Ovis aries: one gene and its partners. The protein of the gene in region 1 interacts with the protein of each later gene in a pairwise test. Links are inferred from orthologs where the notes say so. Each region holds a gene or a part of one and is shown in the gene's direction. Other genes may lie near its edges. The genes, in order: CHD3, YAE1, PTN, HABP4, SERBP1, SIRT6 and IMMT.

Region 1 (4,129 bases):
CCGTACTTGGGTCTCCTGGTCTCCAGTTGTCATTCCCTCAGTCTCTGTTAGATTCCTCCCCTGAGGCGTAATGGAGCCTTCCTTAGCCTGCCTTAATTCCCATCTCTTCCCTTTATCTATCTTAACCATGTTTTACCGACATCCCCAGTCTTAATAACCTGTTCCTTCCTCATTTTACTTATTACCTCCCCACTCAGGTCCTGTCTCGGACTCCGTTCTCTTGCATGTTACTCATTTTCTTGCTTTGACTTTAACTCTCTGTGTCCTTCATCCCACCGCTCCCATGGCTCATTTTCCCATACCATTACCCCTGCCGGCCACTGCCCCGGCTCCTTGTGTCCCCTCAGAATGTCGGGACTATCTCTTCCCTCCTCTGTGCCCCGCCAGCTGGAAATCTTCCACTTGGTGATGTACCGAAACTACCAACGGAAGAATGACATGGATGAGCCCCCACCCCTGGACTATGGCTCTGGTGAGGACGACGGCAAGAGTGACAAGCGCAAGGTGAAGGACCCGCACTATGCCGAGATGGAGGAGAAGTACTATCGTTTTGGCATCAAGCCAGAGTGGATGACCGTCCACCGGATCATCAACCACAGGTGAGCCCTTGGTCCACGGGAAGGCCGACCTGGGTTTTGTCACTGTTCTTGTTGCATGATGGCCCCACGTTAGATAATTGATCTAACTGGGTAATTCCCACCACAGCCCCAGCCTCTCTGGCTTTGTTTCCTCTATGGAGGTGGGAGAAACCAGGAGAAAAGTCCAGCCCAGCACGGACACCTTTGTCCTTGCTTCCTCTAATCTCGAACAGCTTAAGAAATGACACAGGAATCTGGGGATTTGGATGTGATAAAAGCAAAACATGACTTATACAGACCAATGTTTCTAGTACTTCTGTCTTCATAGTACTTATCATTACCAATGTTTTACTGTCTTTTTATTTTTCTGTTTCATCATGGTCTTCTCTGGTAGCATGTGAGCTCCATGGAAATCAGTCATTTGTCTGCCTAGTTCTGCTGAATCACCTATGCCTGGAACCATGCCTGGCATGTAGTAGATGCTTAGTAAATATTGATTGGATGAACAAATGACGTTAAAGTTGGGGATGTTTTGTGATAGTTGATTTTTAGGAAGTCATCTGGAAAAAGTTAGGGTAGTCCTTCAGCCTTCTAAACTCGCTTTCAGAGGCCCACCATTGAGGATTAGGTGACAAATTCTGTGTGTTAACTGATAATTGTGTTTGTTATGACTCTTTTCTACTTGTGACACATATTATTTTTCTCCTCCTGCCTCCTCTTCTGGCTTCCCTCTTCACAGTGTGGATAAAAAGGGGAATTACCACTATCTAGTGAAATGGAGGGACTTACCCTATGACCAGTCCACATGGGAGGAAGATGAAATGAACATCCCTGAATATGAAGACCACAAGCAGAGCTACTGGAGACACCGGTGAGTGAAGCAGATCGTGAGTTAGAGGGCGTCTGACGGTGGGGGCATTAAATGAGGTGCAGACTCAGTCTAGAATTTAGAGTAATGGGATCTGGGGCTGGGTTGTTTGCAGTGGGGTCCATAAAGAGGCAGTGTGAGGAACAGAGATAAGATCTAGCCTGACTCATGGGGAAGAGGATGCTGAGGAGTGGGGAGGATGGTCTCTAGAGCTGAAATCCAAGGGTGAGGCTAAAGAACCTGGGAGCAAGGAAATGTATGAAAATCCAGATTATGGAAAGTGGGAAGTAGGTCTGGAATTGCTTCAGAAGACAGGGGTCCCAAGGCATCAGTCTCACTCAGACCCACTCTTTTCCCAGAGAACTAATTATGGGGGAGGATCCTGCTCAGCCCCGCAAGTATAAGAAGAAGAAGAAGGAGCTGCAGGGTGATGGGCCTCCCAGTTCTCCTACTAACGATGTAAGTCCTCCACTTGGCCTATCTGTCATTTCTGGAGCCTCAGGGTTGAAAACTTCCTGGGAGCTTCTGACAGATCCCAGAGATTCCACAGCTTCTTTGAGCTCTTCCTTCAGTTAGCTTTGCCCTAGGTTTACTGGGGACTTGCGCACAGGAATGAGAGTCTCCAGAGACAGCTGTACACAGGCCTCTTTTGCCATTTCCTTCCCTGCAGTACTCCCAGGTCTTGATTCAAAGAATGAGGGGGAGGCACTGCAGACTAGAACTTTCATAAGCTCAGGCCAGAGGAGAGGGACTCACAATCCCACTTGATACCAATGCCAGGGACGGGGAGGAGACCAGGACCAGATGAGTGGCTGCTGGTTCCCCTGAGCTTTCTGATTTGATTCTACAGCCTACAGTGAAATATGAGACTCAGCCACGCTTCATCACAGCCACAGGAGGCACACTACACATGTATCAGCTGGAGGGATTGAACTGGCTACGCTTCTCATGGGCCCAGGGCACTGATACCATTCTGGCTGATGAAATGGGGCTGGGCAAGACCATACAAACCATCGTCTTCCTCTACTCACTCTATAAGGAGGTGCTGGCTCCTAGGGCCCTAGCCTGGACTGGGGAAGGTGGGAGTGGAGGGTGAGGGCAGAGGACTAGGGGAGGGGCATGGCAGGCAGTGGAGTGGGGTGTACAACTGCAAGCCTCAACTAATGGGGCTCCCTCTCCCCACCTCCCACTCCCAGGGCCACACAAAGGGTCCCTTCCTGGTGAGTGCCCCGCTGTCCACCATCATCAACTGGGAGCGGGAGTTCCAGATGTGGGCACCCAAGTTCTATGTAGTAACATACACGGGTGACAAGGACAGCCGAGCCATCATTCGTGAGAATGAGTTTTCCTTTGAAGACAACGCCATCAAAGGTGGCAAGAAAGCTTTTAAGATGAAGGTCAGACTCCCCACCTCATGCCCTCTGAAGTCCTCAGATCTGTCATTTCATTGGCCCAACCAGAACTTTCTTATATTCCCCATTCAGCTTTCTCCCTCCTTCCCCCACCTTCCCTCATGCCTCTGCTCTCCAGTACTGGAGATGTAGCAGGTTATTCCCTGGGGCACTCATGGATCTCTTCAAACTGGACAGGTGGGGGAAGCTTGAGGGCCACATCCTGTAGTCCCTGAATGGAGTCAAGGTTGGAGGCCTGGACTACCAACTGCCTTTGGGAGTCTCAGGACAGGGTGTCTGGGTAGAGAACAGGGGTGGGGGTCTAGATGCTCGGGTGCAGGCTGGCAGCCACAGGGACCATGGTTGTGTCAACAGAGGGAGGCACAGGTGAAGTTCCATGTTCTCCTGACATCATATGAGCTGATCACCATTGATCAGGCAGCTCTCGGCTCCATCCGCTGGGCCTGTCTCGTGGTGGATGAGGCCCATCGGCTCAAGAACAACCAGTCCAAGGTGAGTGAGGTACCCAGGCCTCAGAAACTTGAGGCTCTGGACTTCTACTTGCCCCCATCCTAAAAGACAAAGCTTGGGGGACTTTGAGCAGCCCCGGAGGCAGTGCAGGGAGAAGTCCAGCTTGGAAGCAGGACAGAATTAGGGGTCTGAGGGCCTCTGATCCTGAAGGAAGTAGGAGCTGGAGGCAGGAAGAGCCAAGGGCCAGCTGCTTGCCACTGATGGACCCTTTCTCCTGCTTTTCCTTGCCCCATTTTCTAGTTTTTCAGGGTCCTCAATGGCTACAAGATAGATCATAAGTTGCTGCTGACAGGGACTCCATTGCAGAATAATCTGGAGGAGCTCTTCCATCTACTGAACTTCCTCACCCCAGAGAGGTTTAAGTAAGTGGTGGCTCAGGAGGGTGGTCTGCAGAGAGGAGAGGTGGAGGAGCTGAGAAAAGGAGTGGGTGAGGAGTCATCTTAAGTGAAGACTAGAGCCTGAGGTCAGGGGCAAAGAACCTAATGCCCGTTCGTGGTTTAATTTCCTTCTGGCTACTAGCAACCTGGAGGGCTTCCTGGAGGAGTTTGCTGACATATCCAAAGAAGACCAAATTAAGAAACTTCATGACTTGCTGGGGCCACACATGCTGCGGAGGCTCAAGGCAGATGTCTTTAAGAACATGCCAGCCAAAACAGAGCTCATCGTTCGCGTGGAGCTGAGCCCCATGCAGAAGTGAGATGCCAAGCGGGTTCCCTGAACCAGGGTTGAAGATGTGGTAACAACTTTGCAAGGGTTGGTGA
Region 2 (4,760 bases), on another chromosome or scaffold:
AGCTCTCTTTACTTTGCTTGTTTCTAAATATTTTTCCATAGCATGTATCATAATCTTGTAACAAACGGTATAATTTACTTATATAGTGTTTATTACTTATCCTCTGGCAATTCCTCATGAATGTCAGAGCTGGGACTTCTGTGTGTTGTTCACTGATGTATCTCAAAAGCATATAACAGTGCCTGGCACAAGGCAAATATTCAAGAAAATTTGTTAGCTAAGTAAATCATCATTACCACATGGGCTTCCCTGGTGGCTCAAACTGTAAAGAATCCGCCTGCAACGCAGGAGACCCTGGGTAGGGGAGATCCCTTGGAAGAGGGAATGGCTACCCATTCCAGAATTCTTCCCTGGAGAATTCAATGCACAAAGGAGCCTGTAGAGCTACAGTCTGTGGGCTTGCAGAGTCACACAGGACTGAGCTATGAACACACACTACCACATGAGTACGCAAAGGGCCAAACAGGAATACTGATGGTATCTACTCATTCATTAACTTTTGTTTCAACACCTACTACAATTCGGAACAGTGCCGGTGCTGAATTTTTTTTTTTTAATTTTTTAATTTTTTTATTTTTTTACTTTTAAAATCTTTAATTCTTACATGCGTTCCCAAACATGAACCCCCCTCCCACCTCCCTCCCCATAACATCTCTGTGGGTCTTATATAAAGACAAGTCTCCATCCTCACCAGTGGTCTTTTCTGGCATTTCAGAAGGAACAGGAGTCAGACAAGGATGCTGTGAATCAATGAGAAATATATTTCGTTTCATAAACGCTCTCTATATTTACTGATCTCAATAGGGCTGCAATATTTTAACTTCTTTAATGTCCTTTGTTCCACGCTCCTAACAATTGAAACAGTCGGGCAGTCCAAACCTTTAAATGCACTGAAAGAAAGAAAGCTCAGTCGTGTCCGACTCTTTGCAATCCATGGACTGTAGCCTACCAGGCTCCTCTGTCCATGGGATTTTCCAGGCAAGAGTACTGGAGTGGGTTGCTATTTCCTTCTCCAGGGATCCTCCTGACCCAGGGATTGAACCTCGGTCTCCCGCATTGTAAGGCGGATGATTTACCATCTGAGCCACTAGGGAATGACGGAGTGCCTCAAAAGAACTACCTCAAAGGGTTTTGCCAATGCACGCGTCTTCAAAACCCAGACCCCAGCAGACACCACGGTAGAAGAGCACAGTGTTTCACTGAATGCTGGCGCTGCCTTCCGCAATCAAGGTCAGAGGGGCTCCGCCTGGCCCACAAGTGCACGGCGACATTTCCAGCTTAGTTATGGGTACTTCCAAATATCAGGGAGCAAAAGCCTCGAGGGGAAACCAGGACCTTCCTGGGACCGGTGACCACTCCGTGAACCGGTCACAGCGTTCAGACACCACGCACATCTACGCGCACGCGCAGCGGTGCCGCGAGCTCCGCAGTCTGTCTTCGCTCCGCCCCTCGGACCGGAAGGAGTTGCCGGCCCTTCCGGCGTCCGGCAGCCCGGTGGTTGCCTCAGTGATGTCGTGGGTTCAAGCTGCTTCTTTGGTCCAAGGTCCTGAAGAGGAGGGGGACGTGTTTGACGAGGAAGCTGATGAGTCGCTCCTGGTGCAGCGGGAATGGCAGAGCCATATGCAGAGACGAGTCAAAGTAAAGCTGCGTGGAGAGGGCGGGGGTCCGTTGCTGTACCGGGTTGTTAGCGCTGGAGCTGGGAGTTGTGAGAAGGTGGGGTCCCAGGATGAAGGCCGGAGTGGTCGCGACCTGGCCTGGCGCTGCCCTCCCTCTCCCGTACCATTCAGTCTGGCCCATGTCCTGCTAGAGTTTCCCAGTGGGTTACTTGAAACCGTGCTACACCACAGGATGCTTTCCTCGAGCGCCCGTGGAGTGTGTTGGATGGACACCGGGGACCGAAAAATATAACCTTTGTCAAAGACTTTGAAGAGATTTCAGTTTGATGGGCATCAGAGGAAAAGGGGTGGAGGAGAAACATTTACACTGTTCTAATTATGTCTGTCAAAGGACATGTAGGCAGTTGACATGGGTTGCTTGAATGAGTGGGGAGCCTAAAGTTAGGAGTAGTGTTAATCAGGACAGATGGAAAAAGTGAACTTAAGAATGCTGTCAGAGGGCAGTAAGAGAAAGCTAATAAGGAATGGAGTCACAGAGTCAGACAAGGCTGAGCGACTGAACAAAATAAAGGAATGGTGGTGGCTACCTAAGGGAGTATTAATGTATTTTTTTAATTTGTTGGGTGTGAATTATCCATATCTAATTTGTCTGACTCTTCACTGAGTCTCAGCTTAATACCGCACACCATTTCCAGGTGGAGCTTTCAGAGCTTAGTTCAGGGTGAGGACCAAATGATGAGATCTGTGCCTGCTAGTGTCCTTGCCAACCATTAAATTGCCATTAAGTCTGCCCTTGTTTAATGTCTCAGTAAAATAATATTTGCTTAGCACAACAACAATGTTGTCAACTTCAGAAATGCCTTATGTGAAGCTGGGGCTAAACCAGTAAATATTGAGCACCTTTTGAGTGTTGTGGCAGGACAAAATCCTTGGGCACAGAGGATTTTCAGTTTACTTAAATTAAGGAAAATTTCTAAATCAAGCAGAATTTCTAAAACCAGCCCTCTCATCTTCCTTTTACTATACCAATTTCCTCTTTCCCTACTCCAGTTCCAAGACCTTGGTAACCCTGCCCTGCCTTATCCACTCACACCAATCCAGTTTCTAAAGGACCAGACACCTAATTCTCCATGTTTCCTTTCTGTGGAGCTATTGCTAACACGGATTTTTTTTTTTTTTGTATATATGTAGAATCAATATTTTAAAATGTGTCCAATAAATCTAGACTACAAAAATGGGATAAGCCAACAATAAACTTTTATGAGAAGCATAGTCTACTTTGGTTGTGTGATTATGCCATATGTTATAGAACCATGATGTTAAATAACACAATAGAGGCCTGTTTCATCAGTTTCTAAATTGGTTCTGTGACTTTCTAGAAAAATCTACACTGGTTTACTTGGTGTTAAGTTACAACTGTAATTCTTCATTACTTATATTTAGGAAGGCTACAGAGATGGAATAGATGCTGGCAAAGCAGTTACTCTTCAACAAGGCTTCAATCAAGGTTATAAGGAAGGTGCAGAAGTCATCATAAACTATGGACAACTTAGAGGAACATTGAGGTAATTTTTAAAACTTAAATGCTGAATTATTTTAACCTTTGTACTAGTGGAGGGTTTTGATGAAAGTAATATGTAAGAAAGTGTAAGCTGAACTGCTTCCCCTAGTGTTAAAGCCATGAAAGGGTACTGCAGAGCATAGACTAAAATTGCCTTCAAAAAGTCAGCAGTTATCCACTTTAATATGTGAGCCAGATGTTATCTTTTATTGCAAAGAAATGATACAAAGGTGTCTTCTTTTTTGCTACCTGAACTACCACCAATCTGTATCTCAAAGTAATTGAAAAAATCTTCAGGTTTTGGGTAACGTTTTTATTCTTGCACATGTGGCAGAACACAATAAAACAGATGTCTAGACTAGCGATACCTGATGAAGAGTATAGCTAGTAACAGAAAAAGTATTCCATTTACTTTGTTTCTGAACGTTGAACACCTGTCAGGATGTCATAGGAATAATGGCATGTATTAGAACCAAGTGGTCCAAAGGCACATGGAGCTACGAGCATGGCATGCTTGTCCTCTTTGATGCTTTGTACCTTTTAACCTGTCCTCTATAGAGAAAAACATAAATGCTTCAAAGAATCACTGATTTTTACAAGGTATGCAATAAAAGTTAACAGGACAGAGACTTCCCTGGCAGTCTAGTAGTTAAGACTCTGCACTTTCAATGCAGGGGATGCAAGTTTGATCTCTTATCAGGAGATGAAGATCCCACATGCCATAAGATGGCACAGCCAAGAAAAAAATAAAAATTAAAAATAAAATTAGAAAAAAGTTATCAATACAAAAGTTCATTACATTTGAGGTTTTATAAAATTCAGCTGTCAGGAATCAGCATTTATAGTATACTATAGTAAGAAAATGATCATGTGTTCATCTTCACATCAAGTTAAATTAATTTTTTATAAGCTTAGAAAACTTATTGCAGGGTATCTGCTGGCAATGCAGTGGATTTGGACTTCATGTTTTTATTTTCGAGGCCTGCGTTCAGTCCCTGGTCTGGGAACTAAGTTACCACAAGCTGTGTGACATGGCAAAAAAAAAAAACCTTATTGCTAACATTATTACTTTTCACAATAACCATTATTTCGTGAGATGAATAATATGAATGTAGGAAAGTAAAAGTACTATCTATACTAAAAAAAAGTAAAGAAAAATAATTATTAAGACTGGAAGAATTCTAACCTCCTTCAATAAAATTGTTAGTAAAGTATCTAACAAAGTTGGAAAAGTGAGTTGTCTCAAAACTTTTTTTCCCCTCACCTTCAGTTTTGATGTCAAGCAGCTATACGGTTATAACAGTGATTTTTAACCTTGGTTACACCTTGTTATCAGCTGGGAAGCTTTTAAAAAAATAACACCCCCAGAGATTCTGATTTAATTGGTCTCAGGTGTGACCTGGACCTTGATAAGGTTTAAAAGTTTTGCAGGTAATTCTGATGTGCATCCAAGATTGAGAAACACTAGTTTAGAAGCTGGTTTCTGCCTTTAAAAGAAAAACTATTTTTTCAGGTCTTTTCTTTCTCTTGAGTTGTATCCATCTTCAACAGAAGCTACACAATCATAAGGGGAAAATAAAATC
Region 3 (4,129 bases), on another chromosome or scaffold:
TTCCACTGTTTCCCCATCTATTTGCTATGAAGTGATGGTACCAGATCCCATGGTCTTCATTTTCTGAATGTTGAGCTTTATGTCAACTTTTTCACTCTCCTCTTTCACTTTCATCAAGAGGCTCTTCAGGTCGTCTTCTCTTTCTAATATATATATATATATATATATATATATATATATATATATATATACACATTTAGAGAAAGTAAAAGCATGTAATTTTAGATTTTAGAAAGTGATGGAGATGCTGAGTTGCTAATTAGGACTTATGATTCAGGGAAAGGACCAAATGATCAAAATATTAACTTTAAATGATGAATATGAAATATTCATCCAGATAATGGAATCCAAAGTCATTAACTAAAAAGCAGTAAAATGGGCATTTCCAGTGTTACAGAAAGGGAGAAAAATTCACTGATAAGGATATCATTTTATAGATAGGCTTGAATGAAGAAAGGAAATTACAGAACAGAGTGATCTTAGTCCCTTATATATGTGAAGTTTTATTGTTTACATTCATGAGAATGTAAAATCATGTAAACAGTCTACACTTCTGGAAGAGAAATTCTGAGTTAATGAGCCAATGCCATTACTATCATTTTTATATGAAGTATAGAATATCAGGAACATACTAGATGGAGACCAATGACTACCAGGTGAGTTACTGCAGCCAATGACTTGGTATAGCTTCAAGAAGTGGGCTGTCCTGGCACTTGTCCTGGCGCCTTCCCCAGTATGCTTGGCAAGGCGATCATGTTGACATGATGCTGTCACAAGTGACTTCAAGTTCTAGGGCAGTCTTGCTAATGCTGTCCTGGGATATTTTTTTGTTGATATCAAATGTGGAGATTTCAAATTATGAGTAAATGTAAACCCTTTACTCCATTCTAGAATTTGGAGGATTTTCAGTACATTTGAGTTTAGAAGTGTTTTTGCTGTATATTGAAGGTGTGTTAGCTCTGCTTCTGTTTTGGGCTTCACTTTTCAGTGGATCAATGAATAATACAACTATGATGATAAGACAATCATGATCATGGAAATGATAAAACAAAATGAGAGGTATTGATCATTACGGATGCATCTGAAGATAACAGCAAACATATACTTGCACAGCTAATCTATTCATGTGTCCGCTCACATTATATGCATGGATGAAAACACCATGGTTGTTTTTAGGAATCATCAGGAGTTATAAGGATAACTACAGTCATTGCCATTACCAAGTGTCACTATCAGTAGGACTTACTGTAGGAGTCTGTTCCAATGCATACCATCAAAATTCTTTTGCTTCCATTGCTCTTGAGTCATACTTAGCAAATGGTTGTGTGAAGTCTTATGTGAAGGACTGTTGTATTTTATCAGTGAATACATGCCTGATTGCAGAAGAGCAGTTACTTCAGTGGCTGTTGGAGAAAAGATTGAACTCTGCTCCATATAATTGATATAAATCTTCCTAAAATCTGATATTTCAGAAATGGAAACTGGAGTCCTTCATCAAGAAGTTCAGCGAGCTTTCTTTGACTTAGGTTGACACCACCTTCTCCATTTCTCTGTTTATTCTTAGAATGCAGACTCCACAGTACCTGCAGCAACGTCGAAAATTTGCAGCTGCCTTCTTGGCATTTATTTTCATCTTGGCAGCTGTGGGCACCACTGAAGCAGGAAAGAAAGAGAAACCAGGTGAGCAATATGGTTATGAACAAGAGTCTTCATTGATTAATATCTATCTAATCCAGCTGCTTGCTTTTTTGTCTTTTCTCCTTCCTTCCCCCTCTTTTTTCGTTCTTTCCCTTTTTCCCACTTTCCTTTCTTCCAAGTATGTAGAGGAACACCTAAGTGATATCCCCTGTTATCCCATCCCCCCACTCTAAGTCCTGAAATATAGATGGTGACCATTAACTATTAATTGAAATAATAATTATTAACAGCTACATCATTCAGAAAATTGATTGGCAATCAAATGTTTAATTTATGTTGATATTCTTCTTCGAAAAGAGTCCTGGAAGCAAATTTTGTTTTATCTCATGAACAAAGGAGGAAACTGAATCTTAGCAGGAATAAAGCACCTTTTCCATGTCACTTGCAATGTCATAAGTTGGCTGTGGAGCTGAGACTCTGTTACGTCTGTGGTCTACCACATTTAGTTTATGTTACTCCATCTATGGGCTTCCCTCATAGCTCAGTTGGTAAAGAATCTGCCTGCAATACAGGAGACCTGGTTTTGATCCCTGGGTCAGGAAGATCCCATGGAGAAGGAAATGGCAACCCACTCCAGTATTCTTGCCTGGAGAATCCGATGGACAGGAGCCTGGCAGGCCTGTGAGGGCGCAAGAGTCGGAAACAACTTAGTGACTAAACCACAACCACCACTCCATCTATAAAACAGAGAAAGAAGCATTGACATACATTGGAATGACTAATCTGACAATCGTTAATTTTCATAGACTATTTTCCTATTGTTTAGATTTAACTTGACTTTGATCATCTTCTCTTTTTCAGCAACATTTGCTTCCAAAAGGAGGTGTGTCAGTAAACCACTTAGCGCAGTCCCTGGCACATAGTAAGAATTAAATCAATATTAGTTCTAGCTCCCTAGTTTTCTTTCTGACTTCTCCTGGTCATTGGTTGATTCAGTCATTCATTCAGCTAACACTTACCGAGTTTCTACTCTGTCCTAGACACTGAAGAGAGAGGTAAAATCACAGGCCATGCAATTAAGGAGCTCAGGAATGAACTTGGTTTTATCCAGGAGTTGAAGAGTTTTCTGAGCGTTGATAATTTTTCCTTCTTCCCTTTCAGAAAAGAAGGTGAAGAAGTCTGACTGTGGAGAATGGCAGTGGAGTGTGTGTGTACCCACCAGTGGGGACTGTGGGCTGGGCACCCGTGAGGGCACCCGTACCGGAGCTGAGTGTAAACAAACCATGAAGACCCAGAGATGTAAGATCCCCTGCAACTGGAAAAAGCAATTTGGCGGTGAGTCCCACCCTTACTGTCCTATTGATTTAATCTTCCACCCTGAGATAATTCTTGCATCCTTCCATCGGGTATCTTTTTGAGGTTGACTCTATTTTAACAAGTTTATTTTATCAAATACAAGATAACCTGGCATCTCGCCCAACCTCGGGTCCCTCGTTTTGCGTACTGCTAGAATCTGGAACCAGATAGTTTTCTTGTCCTGGAGGGAGGGCTGCTCTGTGCATAGGATATTTAGCTGCAGTCCTGACCTTTACCCACTAGTTTCTGGTGGCACTCCCCACCTCAACAACTGTGACAGCTGCAAGTATCCAGATGTTGCTTCACGTTTCCTTTCAGGGCGGGGGCAGAGGGTCAGAGTAGTCCCTGATTGAGACCACTGCCTTAGCAGCAGGGACAGAAAATAGGCCCTCGGTCCCTCTTAACAGTGTGTTCTGTCCTTCTATTTCTAGATCCTTTTATCTTCCCTTCCTCTTTTCTTATTTAGTCTCCTCCTTCTCCAGATCTCTCTCTCTCTCTGTTACTTCTGGGCCTTCTCTCTTTCTCTTGCTCCCTCCCCACTTGCCACACTGGTTCATAGCTCTTTACTCACCAAACCCAGATGGACTGCTCTGAGCCACTGTTAGATTTTAGCTCAGTGACTATTGCCAGTTTCATGCTGACCTCGTCTCCCAGTCTGAGAAGGAGTCTTTCAACACTTTTGACCCTAAACCCACCATTGAACACCAAAATTGCCTGTTGTTTCTGCACCCCCCCCCCCCCGTTCTAGACTTGTCTTTCTTGCCATAGTGGGACACAATGCCCTAAGTATTCTCACTCGGTTACAGAAATGTGTTTTGGCCTACTGGACAGTGAAGAAGGGTAATGGATACATACACTACATCTTTTTCATTCTCTGTAACCTTTGGGGTTATAACTTTACATAAGTGGAGGTAAAGTCTATAAAGGCATAGTGAAATTCAGATAAGTTTGATCTTAAATTGTATATAACTAAAGATCTATACATAAAATGTCTTAAAAATGTGGTTTAAAGGTCTTATATATATAAATGTCTAGAATATATAAAGAGCTCTCAAAACTAGCAATCCAATTAGAAATTGGGCAAAAGACATAAACAATCATTTTACTAAAGAGGATACCTAGGTGGCAAACAAAC
Region 4 (4,827 bases), on another chromosome or scaffold:
ATTCTCCAGAATACTTCCCCTCAGGTCTGTTCGGCCAGATTTGCACCAAAAGCCTATTCCTACAGCAATCATGGTAGGGGAATGGCAGTACAAAGAGTGATTTAAGATTAATCAAGTCTGAGGCTAGAAAAGGGCCAAGTTCCCAAATGGGGCAAACAGCTACCTGATGCACCAACAAAACACATTTCTGGGAAAGTGTAAGAGGGAAAGGAAGAGTTGTAATATAGGCAGTGTAGAAAAGTGTCTCCATGAGTGCCTAAGCAAGAATTCCTGGAGAAAGTCTAATTCATGTTCTCCTCTGAACTTCAAGGCCTCAACTGAATAAAACAACCAACCAAACAAACAAAACAAAAACAAAAACCTTAAATCTCAACATGTCCAAGACTGCACTTGTGAGTCTCATCAAAGTGGTCTCTTCTAATGATTTCTTTGTGAATAACACCACCATTCCAGTTGTAAGAGCCAGAAAAACAGGAGTCATCAAATTCTTTTTCCTCACCAGCTGTATCTAGTCCATCATCGAGTCCTGTTGATATAACCTCCAAAATAGCTCTTGGATCTACTACTCTTTTCACCTCCACTGACAGTATCCTACTCCAAGTGTTTATCATCACCTTTTCCATGTAGCTCTGTAGGAATCTTCAGCTTGATTTCCCTGCATCTAATTTGACCTCCCACCAACATAGTTCTTCACATTACAGCTAAGGTGGCCTTTTTAAACACATGCTCATGCTTAAAATTTGCTTCCTGCTGCTCCTGGAATAAAGACCAAAATAAGGCTCTTCCCCAACTCTTCAGTCTGGAGAAGGAAATGGCAACCCACTCCAGTATTCCTGCCTAGATAATCCCGTGGACAGGGGAGCCTGGGGGCTGATCTACACGGGGTCGCACAGAGTCGTACGCGACTGAAGCGACTTAGCATGCATACATGCATTAGAGAAGGAAACGGCAGCCCACTCCAGTGTTTTTGCCTGGAGAATCCCGGGGACAGAGGAGCCTGGTGGGCTGCTGTCTATGGGGTCGCACAGAGTCGGACACGACTTAAGATACTTACCAGCACCACCACCAGCAGCAGCAGCAGCAGCAGCAACTCTTCAGTCAGTTCAGTCGCTCAGTCGTGTCTGATTCTTTGAGACCCCACGGACTTCAGCACACCAGGCTTCCCTGTCTATCACCAACTCCTGGAGCCAACTCAAACTCATGTCCATCGCATCAGTGATGCCAGCTCCCCAACTCTTAGCAATTCATTTAACTGGTTTTCTTTGAGCTTTCCACCCCACCTCAGACTTGTGCACTTGCCATTACTCCTGGCCCTTGCTATCCTTCATATCTCAGCTTAACCGTCATTCCCGCGGGAAAGCCTCTCCAAGCTTCTTAAGTAGGTCATAGAGAAGTCTGTGCCTTTCCTTCAGGGCACTTTTCTGCCTTAAGACTAAGATCTTCCGAAACAGGGAGCTAGTATCTCCTACAACATAACACCTGGCACATAGTAAGTGTACATTATATAGTTGTCGAATCAATATATACACTTCAAAGAAGAGTGGAAGATGATAAATGTGGACCCAGTCTCAGAGAAAACACAAATGACGGCCGTGACCCACCAGCATGGCCCAGCAGCCTGGACCACAAGATTCGTTGCTCCTCCCAGCAGCTCCGCCCCTTGGGTCCAGCCCCTCCCTGCTGAGTCGTGGGGCGGGGCATAGAGGTCGCCTGACGTGACAGCAGCCGGCCTCTGATTGGGCTTCCAGGCGTGCCGGCTAGGAAAGGGGGCGTGCCCTCGTGCGCTGATTGGCTGGTGGGAAGCAGCTAGGCGGGCGGCGGCGGCGGCTGTGCGGGGGCGGGCGCTGGGAGGGACGGGACTGGGCAGGGCAGGGTTGGGAGGGCAGTAGCTGCGGGTAGGATGGGTCCTCATCGCCGGCTTCGCTAAGACTCGCTCGCGTGGGCTGCCCGCGGCGGGCCCGCAGTGGCCGCGGCGGCATGAAGGGCGCTCTGGGAAGTCCTGTGGCTGCGGCTGCCGCAGGCGCCGCGATGCAGGAGAGTTTCGGCTGCGTCGTGGCCAACCGCTTCCACCAGCTGCTAGACGATGAGTCTGACCCGTTCGACATCCTGCGCGAGGCCGAACGCCGGCGCCAGCAGCAGCTGCAGCGCAAGAGGCGCGACGAGGCGGCGGCGGCGGCGGCCGGGGCTGGCAACCGCGGCGGCAGGAGCCCGGCTGGGGCCTCGGGCCACAGACCCGGCGCGGGCGGCGGCCGGAGGGAGTCCCAGAAGGAGCGCAAGAGCCTCCCGGCCCCCAGCTCGCAACAGCCAGATAGCCCAGGGGGCGGCCCGCAGCCGCCCGGTACGCGCGCCCAGCCCAGCACCTGGGTGTCCCAGGGTGGGCGCGGTGGGCGGGGAGGGGAAGGAGAATGGGGTCATGGAGGTCACTCCTCCTCGGCTGCCCCAGGACCTGCTACTGCGAGACTGGGGTCGCTGGAACCTGTTCCAGAAAGGGAAGGGGGCGCTGGGAAGAGTTGACCGAAGTTGAGGGTCCCAGTGGCTGAGGAAGGTGGGAAAAAGGACAGGGTAGGGGGAGTGTCACGCCCCTTCTGGCCTTTCCCAGTCCCTTCTGGGAGCGAAGGAGAGTGCAGGCTTGGAGTAGGGGGTTTCTGAACGGTGGGACTGAGCCTTTACAAGTTGGGCAAAGTTGAGGGATATTTCTTGGGTGGTGTATGAGGGTGAACACTGGGGTCGTTGCCCGAGGGCTCTCAGATCTAAAACTAGCAGGGACCTTCTCCATCCTCCAGCCGAACCTCTGCAAGATTCGCGTCGGGAGGCGAAAAGAAGCGTCGTGGAAAGGAGGGAGGGGAGTGCCTCTTAGGGAGAATGGAGGAGGGCGCACCCGGCCCCTGGGGGTGGCGGCGAGAACTCGGGGTGTGTGAAAGGATCGCCGGGGTGAGGAGCTAGGGCCTCTGTGATGGAGGGAAGGCCTGGGTGACCGCGGGGGTGGGCTGTGACGTCAGGGCCCCGAGCAGAATGCGGCGGGGGTTGACGCGGGGTCCCCAGCGCCTTCCAAGCTCTGTGCCTTCACCCATCCACCTCCCTTGCGGTGGCTTACAACAGTCACCCCGCACGGGTTTTCAATACAGCAAGTAGTGTTGATGGCTTGTGTAACTTGTCATTAACTCAGGCTGCTTTAAGAAAAGCGTTTTTAACCTTTTCAACAAGAATATGCAAAGTTCCCCACTCCCTGCTTAGCCAGAATGGCCGGTGCAAAGCTTGGTGTACTATTGACTGCATCTAGGCATGGATGGTGCTGAAGAGTCGTTTCTCACCTGAACTGCTTCAGTGGTAAAGCCTCCAAGATTCCACCTGTGTTTCCTCTGTTTTCCAAAAATAAAATAGTGGTCCTAAGGTTTCAGAAAAAAGTTTTAAGATGCATGATTCGACCACTCCAGCCAGTGTTTGGGAGTGTATTCAACTCGGCTTTACTGGCTTGTTCCTTGCTTACTTGATAAAAATTGTCAGCCCAGTCCTGAGAGAATAATTCCTGACTTGAGTGTTGGTGCCCTGACTTCTGCAGCTAGGTAATGTTTACCTCTATCTGTGCAGAGTTCAATCCAGCAATATCTCTTGAGAATCAGAAAATTAAGTCATTATAATATTGACAATTATTTTAAGTGCCGTTGAGATATCCCAAGATTTCTTGATAGGCAAGTACATATATAAGCCTATTTAAACAGTGAGTGAGACTTGAGATATATTGTACATTTTGTATATGTTCTATTTTTCTCTTAAATCTATTTAGATAAATATCATAGTAATAAAATAATTGGACAGGCTAAGCTTTATTTTTTAACAAGTGAAAATATGTATTATCTTTTCATGAGAAACAGAATTTAGTTTTCTCTGTTAATATATTGCTTTTTAACCTTTTTACTAGTAAAATTGTCATGCATTTTTGTTGTATTTTAAACAATTCAGAAGTGTATGAAGTAAAGTGAAAATGCATACTTTTCTTACTGTTAACACTTTGTATTTACACATATAAATGCACAGAGCTACTTCTTTTTTTCCCCTAAATTTCAGATGTTATAAACTCAGTTGCAGCCTGCATTTAGCATAATAAATAAACATCGCATTATAATGTAGTATGCTAATAACTTTTTCTGTCAATTGTTTATAATCCAGGTGATCTGGTTTTTGAGATCTGTATTAAAGAACTTTAGTTAATTTTGTAGTTAGAATGGAAGTTTTGTAGTTCTAGTTCTTTTTCAAGTGTGTTATTTTAGGAGCAAACAGCTCATTAATTTTCATTTGTGCAGTTACTGTACTGAATTTATCTGTAATGGGTGTTAGAGAGCTACCCTCTTAAGGTTTTGTAACCCTAATTGATATGGACTGTACTTCTCTAACACTAAAATTTTTTAAGTTTATTTGGCTATTAAAAGTGAATGCTTAGTGTAGACAAGAGTCAAAGTCAAAACAAGTTTGACATATTAACAAACAGTCACAAAAGGATGTGAAAATCATAAGATTTTCCCATAGAAATAGATTTTTAATATCCCTCACTATTTAACAATATAGACCGTTACTCAAAAAATTTATTCTTAATTCTTCAGAGGCTGTTTCAGCTTTGCTATTCCTGGCTTTTCAGAACTTCTCCAAGTCAAAGCTCAACTTTATTTCAGGGAAATCGTACTGTAAATTTTACAGTATTCTGTCTCTTTATGTGGGCTGGGGTTAGATCAGTGATCAGATTGCATATGCCAGCCTTTTATTTCGAAAGGGCTAGTAAAATTCAGTGTTTGCATTATCCACTTGGAGCTGCTGATCCAGCACAGAATGACT
Region 5 (4,818 bases), on another chromosome or scaffold:
GCATTGCCTATCTTTGGGATTGGAATGAAAACTGACCTTTTCCAGTCCTGTGGCCACTGCTGAGTTTTCCAAATTTGCTGGCATATTGAGTGCAGCACTTTCACAGCATCATCTTTCAGGATTTGAAACAGTTCAACTGGAATTCCATCATCTCCACTAGCTTTGTTCATAGTGATGCTTCCTAAGGCCCACTTGACTTCGCATTCCAGGATGTCTGGCTCTAGGTGAGTGATCACACCATCGTGATTATCTGGGTTGTGAAGGTCTTTTTTTGTACAGTTCTTCTGTATATTCTTGCCACTTCTTAATATCTTCTGCTTCTGTTAGGTCCATACCATTTCTGTCCTTTATCGAGCCCATTTTTTGCATGAAATGTTCCCTTGGTATCTCTAATTTTCTTGAAGAGATCTCTAGTCTTTCCCATTCTGTTGTTTTCCTCTATTTCTTTGCATTGATCGCTGAAGAAGGCTTTCTTATCTCTTCTTGCTATTCTTTGGAACTCTGCATTCAGATGCTTATATCTTTCCTTTTGTCCTTTGCTTTTCACTTCTCTTCAACAACATTTAAATCTTATTAAATACTGGAAATTAATTTATATTGATTCATTTCTATCAGAAGGCAGAGTCTGGATTAAAAAATTGATGTCAGGTGTCTCACAGTGGAGTTAGAAGACTGGAGTTAACTCCTGGCACTTAAACTGTTACAGACGTGAACTTGATTAAGTTATTTCAAATAGGAAATGGTTTCACCTGTGAAAAGGGAAAATTATTTACCTAATAAGTTGTTGTCGTCATTAAGGTTATTCATAGTACCTGGAACATGGAGATGCATTTTCTATATTCTGGTTAATAGGAAAAGGTTTAAAAATTATAATACATTCACCCTCACCGTGTTACCAAATATGCTTGAATATGCATGACACCCTTTTAATGGACTTTAATATTCTCAGCTAATACCAATGAGAATTAAAGACAATTCTCTGACATATTTCTCTCCCCTCACTGCACCTCTTAGCACATCACACATTCAGATGCTCTTCAGATAACATTTTAATGTTATTTCTTGAGTACCTTTTACTAACACCCAATCCTTGACTTGCCTGGCACTAATGTCAGCCTAGGCTCCATAAAGTGTTTCTACAAACAATGCCTTTTGGAGGCTTTCCCAGTGTCTGGCTAGTGCTACACCGCCAGGAGTTAACAATTAAAGCACCGGTCGCAAGACGGCACTTCTCATCCAAGAAAAGCGCGCAACACTCACTTTGCTAGTTCAACTTGTCTTTTGGATTAATTCTGCTGCTAGAGTTCAAGTGGCCGCGAGAAGAAGCGTATTCCGCCTCACATTAAACAGAGACGCTTCGATTCATTATTAGGGCTGCAGGAGGGCAACTGCAGCAACTGGGCAACTAGGGATTTGGAAGAGAGCGGGTTCCACTTCCGCGAGGCCAGTGCAATCTGCCAGCCCTGGAAGTTTGTGAGTCTCCACTTGTAAGACTGATAGTCACCTTGACCCTCCCGGAGAGGTGGGGAAAGTTAGTCCTGGGCCGGAGACGGGGAGTAAAACCGAAGACTGAGAACTTTCGCGAGCAAAACACGCCGTCACGTTTTCCTGTTTTCAGCGCAGCAGGAGACGCCGAGAGTTTAAGGGCGGCGATAGCAGGTGGCAGGACTCCGCCTACCACCGCGCTTCTCCCTCAGCTTGCACACCCCTCTCCCTCAGTGAGGACTCGCCTCTGAGGCGCGCGCGAAGAGTTGTTCAGCCGTGTATTCTGGGAGTTGTAGTCCTGGTGCCGGGAGCCGCCTCAGGAAAAGCGACTCTGGCCTACAGACCCCGTGGTACCGTGCGGCGCTGGCCGCTCCCGGATGTGTGCCTAGCGCCGGAAGAGAAGACAGCCCCCCTCTCTCGGCCCGGCCATCTTGTGGGAAGAGCTGAAGCAGGCGCTCTTGGCTCGGCGCGGCCCGCTGCAATCCGTGGAGGAACGCGCCGCCGAGCCACCATCATGCCTGGGCACTTACAGGAAGGCTTCGGCTGCGTGGTCACCAACCGATTCGACCAGTTATTTGACGACGAATCGGATCCCTTCGAGGTGTTGAAGGCAGCAGAGAACAAGAAAAAAGAAGCCGGCGGGGGCGGCGTTGGGGGCCCTGGGGCCAAGAGCGCAGCTCAGGCCGCAGCTCAGACCAACTCCAATGCGGCGGGCAAACAGCTGCGTAAAGAGTCCCAGAAAGACCGCAAGAACCCGCTGCCCCCCAGCGTCGGCGTGGTTGACAAGAAGGAGGAGACGCAGCCGCCTGTGGCGCTTAAGAAAGAAGGTAAAGCAGTGGTAGAAGGTGGGAGACACCCGGGATGGAGGGAAGGAGCGAGGAGACTTGCGGCTAACACTCGCTTCTGGGGCTCCGAGGGTTCGCGGGAGACTTGGCCACTGATATCCCGGCGTTTCCCTCAACGCGACAAAAGCCAGGTCCTGCGAAGGTGTTGGGAGCGTGTTAAGCCCAAGTTCAAACCGCCACCTGCAAGGATACTGGAACCACCCCTTCCCGCCTCAGGTCTGAGCCGAGAAGCGTGGTCGGGATCCTGGGAGGCTGCTGCCTTCCCGCCGGATTCCTTGGCGGGCGAGCGCATGGACCGAGGCTCGGTGAAGGGAGCCACTCCTCGGAGCACTTGTAGTGAAGCGGACAGCGGGGGCTCCGCGGCTTCTTCCTGCTCAGAGCTGCCCCCTCAGTCTGCTGCTCTGAGGTGAGGTTGTCTCCTTCAGGCTACTCTCTTGCCATCTTGTCCCAGGATGGCGCGGGGTACGCCCGAAAAAGAGGGTCGAGTTTTCTGCCCGCGCGCACACCTCTCCGCAGGCATGTTCGAACCGCTCGGATATTGTGGGAAAAGCTGCCCTTTTAGGTGCACACGTGCTTTATTGTCCACCCCTCGCCCCCTCAACTATTACAAACTTAATAACTTGCTGGAGTGACTCAAGCTGTTGGGAGAGGAATTTAGCCCCTCGGGATTGACCAGAAGCGGGAATTCTGAATGAAAACGTGTTGGCAGGAAATCCTGAAACTCGTTCTCGAGTCAAGATCTTTTTATCTACCCCGTCGAACCCCCGCGGACCCACCTCCCCACTGCACGCAGTGTTTCGTGTGGTGTGCCCCTGGCGCGAGCCTCGTGGCTGTCACAGCGGTAGCCACCGCTGAGTCCTTTTGAGTCTATGGCTTTTTCTCCCCATGTGCGTGAAGCGTGGTCGGGATTTCATTGGCGGGTAGTAGCTGCTTCCAGGTCATTGTAAACTTCGCGGGATTGCCTTGAACTTGGTGTTTGCACTCTCCCTCATTGCTGGTTTCTCTTTGGTGGTGGGTGAAAAAGCATAGCAGTGAGGAGTAAGGAAAAATCTTACAGATCCGAAGTAAGTAGGTGTAGGACCTAAGTTCTGAATCGTAGAGATTACCTCTGTGTGTTGAAAGTTGAAATTTTGCCACGTGCTTCAGAAAGGAGTTCTGAGCTTTAGTTGAATTTGATAGCTAGCGTTCAGCTAATTTGAAAATGAAAACAATTGTGTTAGGTTTTGGTTTAGAATTTTTAAGAAATAGAACGTTTTGAGGCTTGGGATGAAGAACCTAGGTGGTAAATAAAACAATTATATTAAAATTACAGGTTGGAGAGGGAAGCACACGTTGGAGTATTAGCATGCATCTTTGAGGCTAAATACTCGGCTAATCTTTATAGCAGGCTCTATAGGCTGTAGCACAATGTAATAAATCGTTTAATTTCTATGTTAAGGAACACTGACTTGTGTAGTCATTTAAACTGTGCTCAAGTTTACCTCCTGTATCGCTAATTCAAAGAAGGTACATGAAAAAATGGAATCTGAAATGTGTTCACTCGTTTTGAATGTTCAAAACATGAGGTGTGCTTTAAACCCCTCAGTTTGATCATAAAGTCCGTTTATGAAATAAACTTTTACCTGGAACCTAGTATTTTAAATTATAAAGTTATTTCATAAATTTATGAGCAGGATTACGTTTACCATTCAGTAGTCAAATTCAATAATTTCCATTATTAGCTATCAACATTTTCCTTAGGTCAGCATTTCAGAGGACACTTAGGCTTAAATTGCATAAAACACAGGTTATAAAAATGTTGAATGAAAAAAGTTCATTTTGAGAGCCTACTATGTAGCAATCATTTCTGGGCATTGGGGAAGTATAGACCTGTAAACAAAAGTCCTGGACTCTTGTAGTAGGAGGGATTGTTAACCTGATCATGTGTTCTGTGCCTTTGAATAGGGGTCCTGGCACAATCAGATATGCTTTAGGTAGGTATTTACTGTTTATATTCTATGAATTTTGTAGTTTATCTTTTGCCCACTTGAGGAATTTGAGAATGGACACCACTGAACATCGCTAAGGTCTATTCTTGTTTGTTTTTTCAATGTTGAAAGCCTGGAATATAGTGAAAAATCTAGAGACACATTTTTAAATGTCAGTTGCTGCGTGGATTTATTTGTGTTTTAGATTCTGTAAGCCTGATAACTGAATATTGGAGTGTGGAAGCAAGCCATTGTTCATCTGGGTGTGTGAGGCTTGGATATTATAAGAACTGGTTCTGTAGCTCCACCCCATACACTCACTACCTCTGAAGAAATTTTTTTAAATGCCTCGGTGTAAGGTCTAATGTTTGTGTCCTGTCCTGAGAGTTTATGTGGAACGGACCTTAAAATTTCAGAGTTTGACGTTTACCATTTGACTGCAAGCAACTGAACAGTTGGGTGCATCTTGGTGGCGGTACACTTTCTTAGAAGCAGAGTGAACCAACTTAATATCTTGTGAA
Region 6 (3,460 bases), on another chromosome or scaffold:
CACAGAGACAAGCTGGCAGAGCTCCACGGAAACATGTTTGTAGAAGAATGTGTCAAGTGTAAGACGTGAGTGCCACTGCGGGAGGGGCGGGACACAAGTCATGGATAACCCAGGTCGGGCTCCCGAAAAGGTCCTGGTGACTAAGCCTGCCACTTCTAGAGTCAAGGGTGTGGCCCTTCCACGGTGGGATCTGGGCGTGTATCTTCCTCCTGGGAGGTGTGTTTATTTCCTGCAGCTGCCGAGACAACCACAAACCTGAGTAACTTAAAAACAACAGAAATTCATAGTCTTATGGGTCTGGAAGCTACAAGTCCAACATCAAGGTGTTGGCAGAACCATTCTCCTTCTACAGAGTCTTAACCACTAACCTACCAGGGAAGTCCCCAGGCCAGCTTTTTCATGGAAGGCCCCCTCTGCTTCCCCATCCCCAGCCCCTGCTGCATTTGCCAGCTGTCACCTCATGTTTAGATTCTGGTCTTACGCTCCCGCACTTTCCTGGAAAAACAGCTCTGTGTGCTTTTTGCATGAGCTGCCCAGGTGGGCTGCCTGGAAACCAGCGGTGAGCCGACCCTTTCCTCCTCGGCACAGGCAGTATGTCCGGGACACCGTGGTGGGAAGCATGGGCCTAAAACCCACGGGCCGGCTCTGCACCGTGGCCAAGTCCAGGGGACTGCGGGCCTGCAGGTGAGTGACCCCTCCCCATGCCCTGGACCCCAGGGGAGGCCACCAGTCTCCTGCTAACTCCCCCGCCCTCCCTACAGGGGGGAGCTGAGAGACACTATCCTGGACTGGGAGGATTCCCTGCCTGACCGGGACCTCACCTTGGCCGACGAGGCCAGCAGGTCTGACCCCAGTGGGTCCCGGGTGGGTGGGGGGGGGGGGAGGGGCAGAAACACAGCCAGCTCCAGCCCCGAAAGGAGTGATCAGCACCGTCTGGGCCTTGCTTTGCTCATAATAGCTCTTGTGCCGAGCCCTCACATACCATCCTCACCACATCCCAGGGTGGGTGCTGCTCAGGCCTATTTTACAGAGGAGGAAACTGAGGCTGGAGCAACTGGACTCCTCCATCCAGGCTGCCCAGCCCAGAAGTGACTGAGCCAGAATCAGAACCCAGGAGTTCCCCACTAGCAGCTCCACTTCTGCTGACAGGGTTGAGGGGTGGCCCAGCAGAAGGGAAGTGTCAGAGGCAGGCCATGGCTGGGCCCCCAGCAGAGGTGGGTGCTGTGTGAGCAGGTCTCCCGGGACTGGCCCCGTTGTGTTGGCAGAGCAGTGAAGCCATGGTGTTTGAGCAAGGGTCAGGGAGTGTATGTGCTGGCCACCACACGCCCTTGCCTCGTGGGGCAGGAGGAGGGCTGCAGAGATCCTTGCCAAGGGGCTTAAACTAATCCTGCCTCCTGGCCCCAGGAGTGCAGACCTGTCCATCACACTGGGCACCTCCCTGCAAATCCGGCCCAGCGGGAACCTTCCCCTCGCCACCAAGCGCCGTGGAGGTCGCCTGGTTATCGTCAACCTTCAGCCCACCAAGCATGTACGTGTGGAAGCCTATCCCTGATATCACCCCTGGACCCCCCTCAAGCCTTCTCCCTCCACCTGACTGTTCCCCGCCTCCACAGGACCGCCACGCAGACCTGCGAATCCACGGTTATGTTGATGAGGTCATGACGCGGCTCATGAAACACCTGGGCCTGGAGATCCCGGCCTGGGACGGCCCCCACGTGGTGGAGAGGGCACTGCCGCCCCTGCCACGCCCACCTGCCCCCAAGCTGGAGCCCAAGGAGGAGGCCTCCCCCCAGCTCGACAGCCCAGTGCCCGCCAGCCCCAAGCAGGAACCCACAGCTGAGCCCTGCACCCAGCACAATGGTTCCGGACCCACCAGCCCCAAAAGGGAGCAGCCGGACAGCCCTGCCCCTCACAGGCCTCCCAAAAGAGTGAAAACAGAGGTGGTTCCTAGCTGACCAGGGGCCCCGGGGAGGGCGGGTTTTTTTTTTTTAATAGAAACCGTGGGTTCTTTTTCTTTTTTCTTACCAGTCTCACTTTGTTACTCATTTCTGTCCTTTGGGGGAGACCTCAGGGTGCTGAGAGCTGGGCTCCAGGCCCAGGGGCAGACTTGCCGTCCACTGGACCTCCCTTTAACTTGGGGCCTATGGAGGGGGCTTGGCAAGGAGCATCTCTGCCCCAGATTCTGAACTTGGAGCTGACAACCCCACACCTGCTCCACCCCGTCTCCAGCCCCTGACTCAGGGTGTTCTTGGGAGGCGTGACCAGGCCCTCCCTGATTTCCAACCTAAACAGGAATCAAGCCTGTCTGCCCCCTGGACCCTCACACTCCCCAGCCCCTGCCTATCCCCACACAGCCTTCACAGCCCCTCTAGGAGGGAGGGGACACACAGCCACCATTTAGGAGCCAAACTTCATGGCAGGACAGACAACAGAGGTTCACACTGCCTTTGTGGCTGGAAGGAGGCAAGTGGGTCCACCTGACTTCCTCCAGGCTTCCAGAAAAGCCTTCAATGCAATAAAAGCAGACTTTCTTGCATCTTGAGTCTGTGTTTACCATCCACAACCTTGCCCAGGGTCCAATCCCTGGGGGTAGGACTGTGTGGTGCTCGCGGCCCCTGATATGTGTGTGTGTGCTGGGACATTCATACAGTCCAGGCCCGGCGGTGAAGGAAGGGCTTACCAGCTGTTGACATTCCTTGAGTCCTCCATTTGTAAATATTGTTTCTGTGATTCTTTAATCCGTGCCCTCTGCTACTAGGCTGTGAGCCCCTCTAGGAGAGAGGCCACATCTAATCGCGATTGCAAATTCCCCCACCCGACCCCACATCCCCACACCTGCGCAAAGCCGGCAGGGATCCGGGTGTGACTCTAAAGGAAGAGCGTTGGTGCAGCTGGGGTCCATGCTCCCCAGCTGTGACCTTGGGCGAGTCCCTTCATTCCTGACGGTTCAGTCTCCTCATCCATAAGACAAGCCGGGTTGGCAGCCTAGCCCCCCAGGAAAGCAGCTGCCCCAGGCCTTCCGCGGACTCTCTTGAAGGGTCTGGGGCGGGGCGGGGAGGGGCCAGAGCCGTCAGAACCTCGCGCTCCTGGCGCGCCCAGCCCTCCATCAGCCGCCGCTCTCCAAGGTCCTGAAGACAACCCTGGCGCCTCTCGTCGCCGATCCAGCCTTGGGGTCCAGGGACTCCCCCACGTCACTCCTCTATCTTCGGCTGGCCCAGTCCTTCCTTCTGTGGGTTGGGGAGCTTCAGACTCTAATTAGCCCCCACCCCACTCCACCTCCACGCTAGCCGTGTTCTGCCAAGATACTTTATTAAGGATCACGGCAGTCTAAAAAAAGGAAAAGGTTGTGGGTCATGGCAGCGCAGAAGTTTAGGACTCACCCCGTGCTCTGGGGCCAGGGTCCCTGCAGACTTGGCTGCTTTCTACTCCGTGCGTGCAAGCGGACAGGGAGGAGTCCCCA
Region 7 (4,129 bases), on another chromosome or scaffold:
CAAAACACTAGCTACTTTAAATGTTTATGCTGATTATTTGCATTATACACTTCAAAGAATAAAGTAATTACACTAATTAAAATGTAATACTGAGACTTAGTAAATTTCCTTTATCATTACATTCAGTTATTCAGTGTATAAAAATGCATCTTGACATCAAGTCATTTAAAGAATAAAATAGAGAACCTAATAAATCTCAGGGATCAGGATTCTGCATCATCAATAAAGTTATTTTGCCATCATGACTGAGGTTTTTAAAAGTTAAATACACTTTACATTGCTTTAGGCATATGCACATATATCACAAAGCAGTTAAATTATACTTCTGTTGCAAACAGCCAAGAAACTACAGCCTTGGAAAAATTAAAAGAAGATTCTATTTATTTAAAGTCCAAGAACAAAGCTTAAATCTTAAAAGTTCATTCTAAGAAACCACACAGGGAATATTTAATATACTGATTATATACATGTGAGAAAGCTCAAAGTTGCATGATATCAGGAAGTTGAGTGTGAACCCAAGTTCTTTCAGAAGGACAGTGATTAGAAACTTTAAAATGTCAATGGTATTACTTTGGTGGAAGGCTATACATAAGAGGGTATTTCCTCTCCCCACTGAACATATAACATGTGGTGCATGTCGCTTGAACAGTACAAAATCTATTATAATTTAGATTTTACAACTAAAGGATACCTTATAGTATAAGTTAACCAGATTAGGCAAAGTTAGCTGGTGTTAACAAAATAATCCAGAAAAATGTACGAGCACAAGTTTTGGAATGTTAAAAATTGATCCCAACTTTGTTTCTTCTAGTAAAAAGCTGTAGGTGCATGTAGGCTCACTCTATAATATATACTGAGTTACTTTCTAAAAGGCAGTGCCTGTAAACAGTTGGACCAGAGGATTGTAGGGGAATCTGGTGTCTGTTTTATAGGACAGCTTATCTTTGGATCTCTACAAGTGGAGGGAGATCCATTTTGGCCCCCAGATATGTTATTGACACTTAACATGATTCATGAGTCTATTTGGGTTAGTTACGAAGAGTTATCCTAGTATGATATCAAGGTCTTGTAACAGCATACAGTAAGGTCTTGTAAAATTTTTTGCACATGACAAGATACTGACATGGCCCAAACCAGCATCCTTTCTTTTTTTTTGTTAGTAATTGAAAAAACTTATTTATTTTTGGCTGTGCTAGGTCTCTTTTGCTGTCCAGGCTTTTCTCTAGTTGTGGCAAGCAGGGACTGCACTCTAGTTGTGGTGTGTGGGCTTCTGTTTGCAGTGGCTTCTCTTGTTGTAGAGCTTGGGCTCTAGGGCGTGCAGGCTTCAGTAGTTACAGCCCAGGGGCTCAGTAGTTGGTAGCTCCTGGGCTCTGGAGCACAGGCTTAGTAGTTGTGGCCCATGGGCTTAGTTGTTCCGAGGCGTGATCTTCCCAGACCGGGGATCGAACCTGTGTCCCTGAATTGGCAGGTGGATTCTTAACTGCTGGACCACCAGAGAAACCCCAGCATGCTTTCTTGATATATTTTATTTTGCAGGATGGATAGAGTGGTAGTTTACCTAAACCTCAACTTGATTATTTGCACCATGAAATAACTTTGTTTTGTTACTTTACAACAATCTATGTAAAACATAAAAAGTTCAAAAGTGAGATACAAAGGTAAAAAAGTACCAGGTATTTCTTCTAAAAGCAGTTCTTAACCTAGGGTCAAGTCTGGATAGAATTCAGGGGCTCATTAAACTTGGATGGAAAATATCTTTATTTTCACTAGCCTCAAAAGCTTTTCCTTCATTTATTTATATTGACAACAAAAGCAGTAGTGTTAGTAGTATTCATAACTTTATTACCAAGAGAGAGCGCAAGTATTTTCCTATCACATTATGGGTACTTACAGACTGTTGAAATATCATTTATGCTCATCACTACTTCTAGATTAGAGTATTTATTAGTCCTGCCACTAAATCTTGGTTTGTGTGTCAAAGAATTAAAAAATACATATTTTTTAATCAAATTTCAGTGTAATTGGGCTCCTTTGTAATCTCGTAGTTTCATTTTAAGCATTTAAAAATGTTATTCAGAGAGGCTTCCTCAGACTGTCACAGTGGTCCAGTGGCCAGGTTAATCCTGCCTTAAGGAACTTGGTTGTTTAAACTTTCTGTTGATAATGAATATACCTTTAAAATGAAGATCACACTTGATGTCAAGGGGAACGCATAAGGTTGAGAATTGCTTGTGAATGATCCAAAGCAGAGGCATTACTGAGTCCTCTTCCCCTTCAAGTAGCAGGCCTGGGGCTCAGAGGCAAAACCACTTGTGTTTCTGACAGTGGAAGACACAGGATGGTCATCCAAGGCCCAGGACACCTAACTCAGAGGGCACTCATGTTTTGGGTGTGCAGCAGCCCTTGCAGTGACTCTCTTTGGTGACTTGTGAACTATAATTATTGAACTACTGTAGTCATTTTTTCCTTGACAATAAATATTTTATTTTCTGATAATTTAATATGTTCCTGTTTTTCACCAAGGTCCTGGTATAGTGTATAGTCACGCATCAGTATGTACAGGGGATTTGGGTCTAGTATCAGCCAGGGATACCACAGTTCAGGGATGCTCAATTCTCATAATTGGCCCTTCTGCATCTGAGGATTGAGCCAGCTATCTATTGTGTAGTACTCTGCTGAAAGAAGATCTTCATATAAGTGGTCCCGTGCAGTTTAGACCTGTGTTGTTAAATGGTCAGCTGTACTTTAAAGATAAGCCCTAAGGTGGTTTTGTCATATCTAAACATAATACACTACTTTAACCTATATCTGCTTGGCAAAGGAAAGGGAGAAGGAAATGTCATTTAAAATAGTTAATAACTAATTTTAAAAGTAGTTTTAAAGAGTTGAAACTTGCAGATAGCATCTTGCTCATTGTTTATGTGATGCAGAGTGAGGGGGAGGATGGAAGCTGGACTCATCTGTGCCACACCTTCAGTTGCAAGGGTGCTTACACGTCTCTTGTGTGAGCCTCTTGCTTCATAGAGTGTGATTATTCTGCTAGAGGTGGCTTTTGTTTTTGGTATGATACATGCCGTAAATATGAGCCAGCTCTGCTCAGCTGAAGAAGGTGGCAGTCAGTTCCAATGCTGGAGCAAAAAATGTTGAACCTGCCTTAAGGAATTTCCAAGGGAGACATTTGTATGAAGTCCACATTGTGTAAAACCAGCTCAAAGTGGAGTGGTGTTCTTGACAAGACTTGATTTTCTCCTTAAAGATTATGGAGAGTCATTCTTGGGGGTAATGTTTTGGGGAAGTAGAAACCCCACAAGTGTGTAAACTTTTTATTATACTTACTAATATTTCAGTAGACCTGCAAGTAAGAAAATTTTAAGTACTGATGCTTCATTGAAGAAAGATTTAATTCACAGACAGTTCGTGACAAGTTGTTCTTATTCATCTTTTCTGCTTCATATCTCCTTTTGAGAATCTAGTAAAAATATTCTCTCTCCTTATAGTATACTTGTGCACTGGAACACACTCTTACAGTTTTGGTGGGTTGGTTGATGGGAGATGATTCATGGACTTCTTTGAACCTCTCATGAACATTAGATTAAGAGTTCCTGTTTGGGAGGAATGTTATATATACTTTTTTAACCTTTGACTTTCTGTATTTAGTCGTGTTATTGTGACAGTACTAATGTTTATTCATGTGTTCATAACTAAAGCTTTTTGTTTAGATTGCAGGTGACAAGAAATCAGCTCAGTGGCGCACAGTGGAGGGTGCATTGAAGGAACGCAGAAAGGCAGTAGATGAGGCTGCTGATGCCCTTCTCAAAGCCAAGTAATTACTCATGGACTTTGACAAGTAATTAGGGCCTCCTGGTGGCTTTCTTTTGGCTCTGTTTTCTTTGTACTGTCTACATAGAAAGAGGAGGCAGAGAAACCCTTCCCTTCTCCACCTATACTGTATTTTGGTTTTAGGAACATGAAAATTTAAAAGGAAGAGAGAGAATAGAATATATAATCTGGCCAAAATAAATGTGGCAGAAACTTACTTAACAATTTTGTATTTTATTTGCAGTATTACTTAGGTGATATGTCTATGGTTTACAGAGATTCTGCCATTATTTCAAGGTTTTTCTGGGAT

The links.
Region 2: the proteins of CHD3 (region 1) and YAE1 interact in a two-hybrid assay, tested with the Homo sapiens proteins (2 studies listed by BioGRID and IntAct). The link is inferred for Ovis aries from reciprocal best matches to the Homo sapiens genes CHD3 and YAE1.
Region 3: the proteins of CHD3 (region 1) and PTN interact in a two-hybrid assay, tested with the Homo sapiens proteins (2 studies listed by BioGRID and IntAct). The link is inferred for Ovis aries from reciprocal best matches to the Homo sapiens genes CHD3 and PTN.
Region 4: the proteins of CHD3 (region 1) and HABP4 interact in a two-hybrid assay, tested with the Homo sapiens proteins (3 studies listed by BioGRID and IntAct). The link is inferred for Ovis aries from reciprocal best matches to the Homo sapiens genes CHD3 and HABP4.
Region 5: the proteins of CHD3 (region 1) and SERBP1 interact in binary tests that used the Homo sapiens proteins (3 or more experiments, as listed by UniProt). The link is inferred for Ovis aries from reciprocal best matches to the Homo sapiens genes CHD3 and SERBP1.
Region 6: the proteins of CHD3 (region 1) and SIRT6 interact in a two-hybrid assay, tested with the Homo sapiens proteins (2 studies listed by BioGRID and IntAct). The link is inferred for Ovis aries from reciprocal best matches to the Homo sapiens genes CHD3 and SIRT6.
Region 7: the proteins of CHD3 (region 1) and IMMT interact in a two-hybrid assay, tested with the Homo sapiens proteins (2 studies listed by BioGRID and IntAct). The link is inferred for Ovis aries from reciprocal best matches to the Homo sapiens genes CHD3 and IMMT.

What each region holds. Positions count from the first base shown.
Region 1 is NC_056064.1:27,395,506-27,399,634, forward strand, and holds part of CHD3 (chromodomain-helicase-DNA-binding protein 3), read left to right. Parts: intron 1-387; coding exon 388-599; intron 600-1,317; coding exon 1,318-1,449; intron 1,450-1,805; coding exon 1,806-1,905; intron 1,906-2,296; coding exon 2,297-2,488; intron 2,489-2,642; coding exon 2,643-2,843; intron 2,844-3,212; coding exon 3,213-3,350; intron 3,351-3,608; coding exon 3,609-3,730; intron 3,731-3,887; coding exon 3,888-4,061; intron 4,062-4,129.
Region 2 is NC_056057.1:82,948,219-82,952,978, reverse strand, and holds the start of YAE1 (protein YAE1 homolog), read left to right. Parts: upstream 1-1,488; 5' UTR 1,489-1,509; coding exon 1,510-1,713; intron 1,714-3,059; coding exon 3,060-3,181; intron 3,182-4,760. UniProt on the Homo sapiens protein: The complex LTO1:YAE1 functions as a target specific adapter that probably recruits apo-ABCE1 to the cytosolic iron-sulfur protein assembly (CIA) complex machinery. May be required for biogenesis of the large ribosomal subunit and initiation of translation.
Region 3 is NC_056057.1:102,353,270-102,357,398, reverse strand, and holds part of PTN (pleiotrophin), read left to right. Parts: intron 1-1,564; 5' UTR 1,565-1,565; coding exon 1,566-1,680; intron 1,681-2,799; coding exon 2,800-2,973; intron 2,974-4,129.
Region 4 is NC_056055.1:29,718,326-29,723,152, reverse strand, and holds the start of HABP4 (intracellular hyaluronan-binding protein 4), read left to right. Parts: upstream 1-1,876; 5' UTR 1,877-1,977; coding exon 1,978-2,338; intron 2,339-4,827. UniProt on the Homo sapiens protein: Ribosome-binding protein that promotes ribosome hibernation, a process during which ribosomes are stabilized in an inactive state and preserved from proteasomal degradation.
Region 5 is NC_056054.1:43,070,184-43,075,001, reverse strand, and holds the start of SERBP1 (SERPINE1 mRNA-binding protein 1), read left to right. Parts: upstream 1-1,913; 5' UTR 1,914-1,999; coding exon 2,000-2,312; intron 2,313-4,818. UniProt on the Homo sapiens protein: Ribosome-binding protein that promotes ribosome hibernation, a process during which ribosomes are stabilized in an inactive state and preserved from proteasomal degradation.
Region 6 is NC_056058.1:17,667,401-17,670,860, forward strand, and holds the end of SIRT6 (NAD-dependent protein deacylase sirtuin-6), read left to right. Parts: intron 1-5; coding exon 6-65; intron 66-588; coding exon 589-684; intron 685-761; coding exon 762-842; intron 843-1,404; coding exon 1,405-1,528; intron 1,529-1,613; coding exon 1,614-1,955; 3' UTR 1,956-2,536; downstream 2,537-3,460. UniProt on the Homo sapiens protein: NAD-dependent protein deacetylase, deacylase and mono-ADP-ribosyltransferase that plays an essential role in DNA damage repair, telomere maintenance, metabolic homeostasis, inflammation, tumorigenesis and aging.
Region 7 is NC_056056.1:58,067,162-58,071,290, reverse strand, and holds part of IMMT (MICOS complex subunit MIC60), read left to right. Parts: intron 1-3,719; coding exon 3,720-3,823; intron 3,824-4,129. UniProt on the Homo sapiens protein: Component of the MICOS complex, a large protein complex of the mitochondrial inner membrane that plays crucial roles in the maintenance of crista junctions, inner membrane architecture, and formation of contact sites to the outer membrane.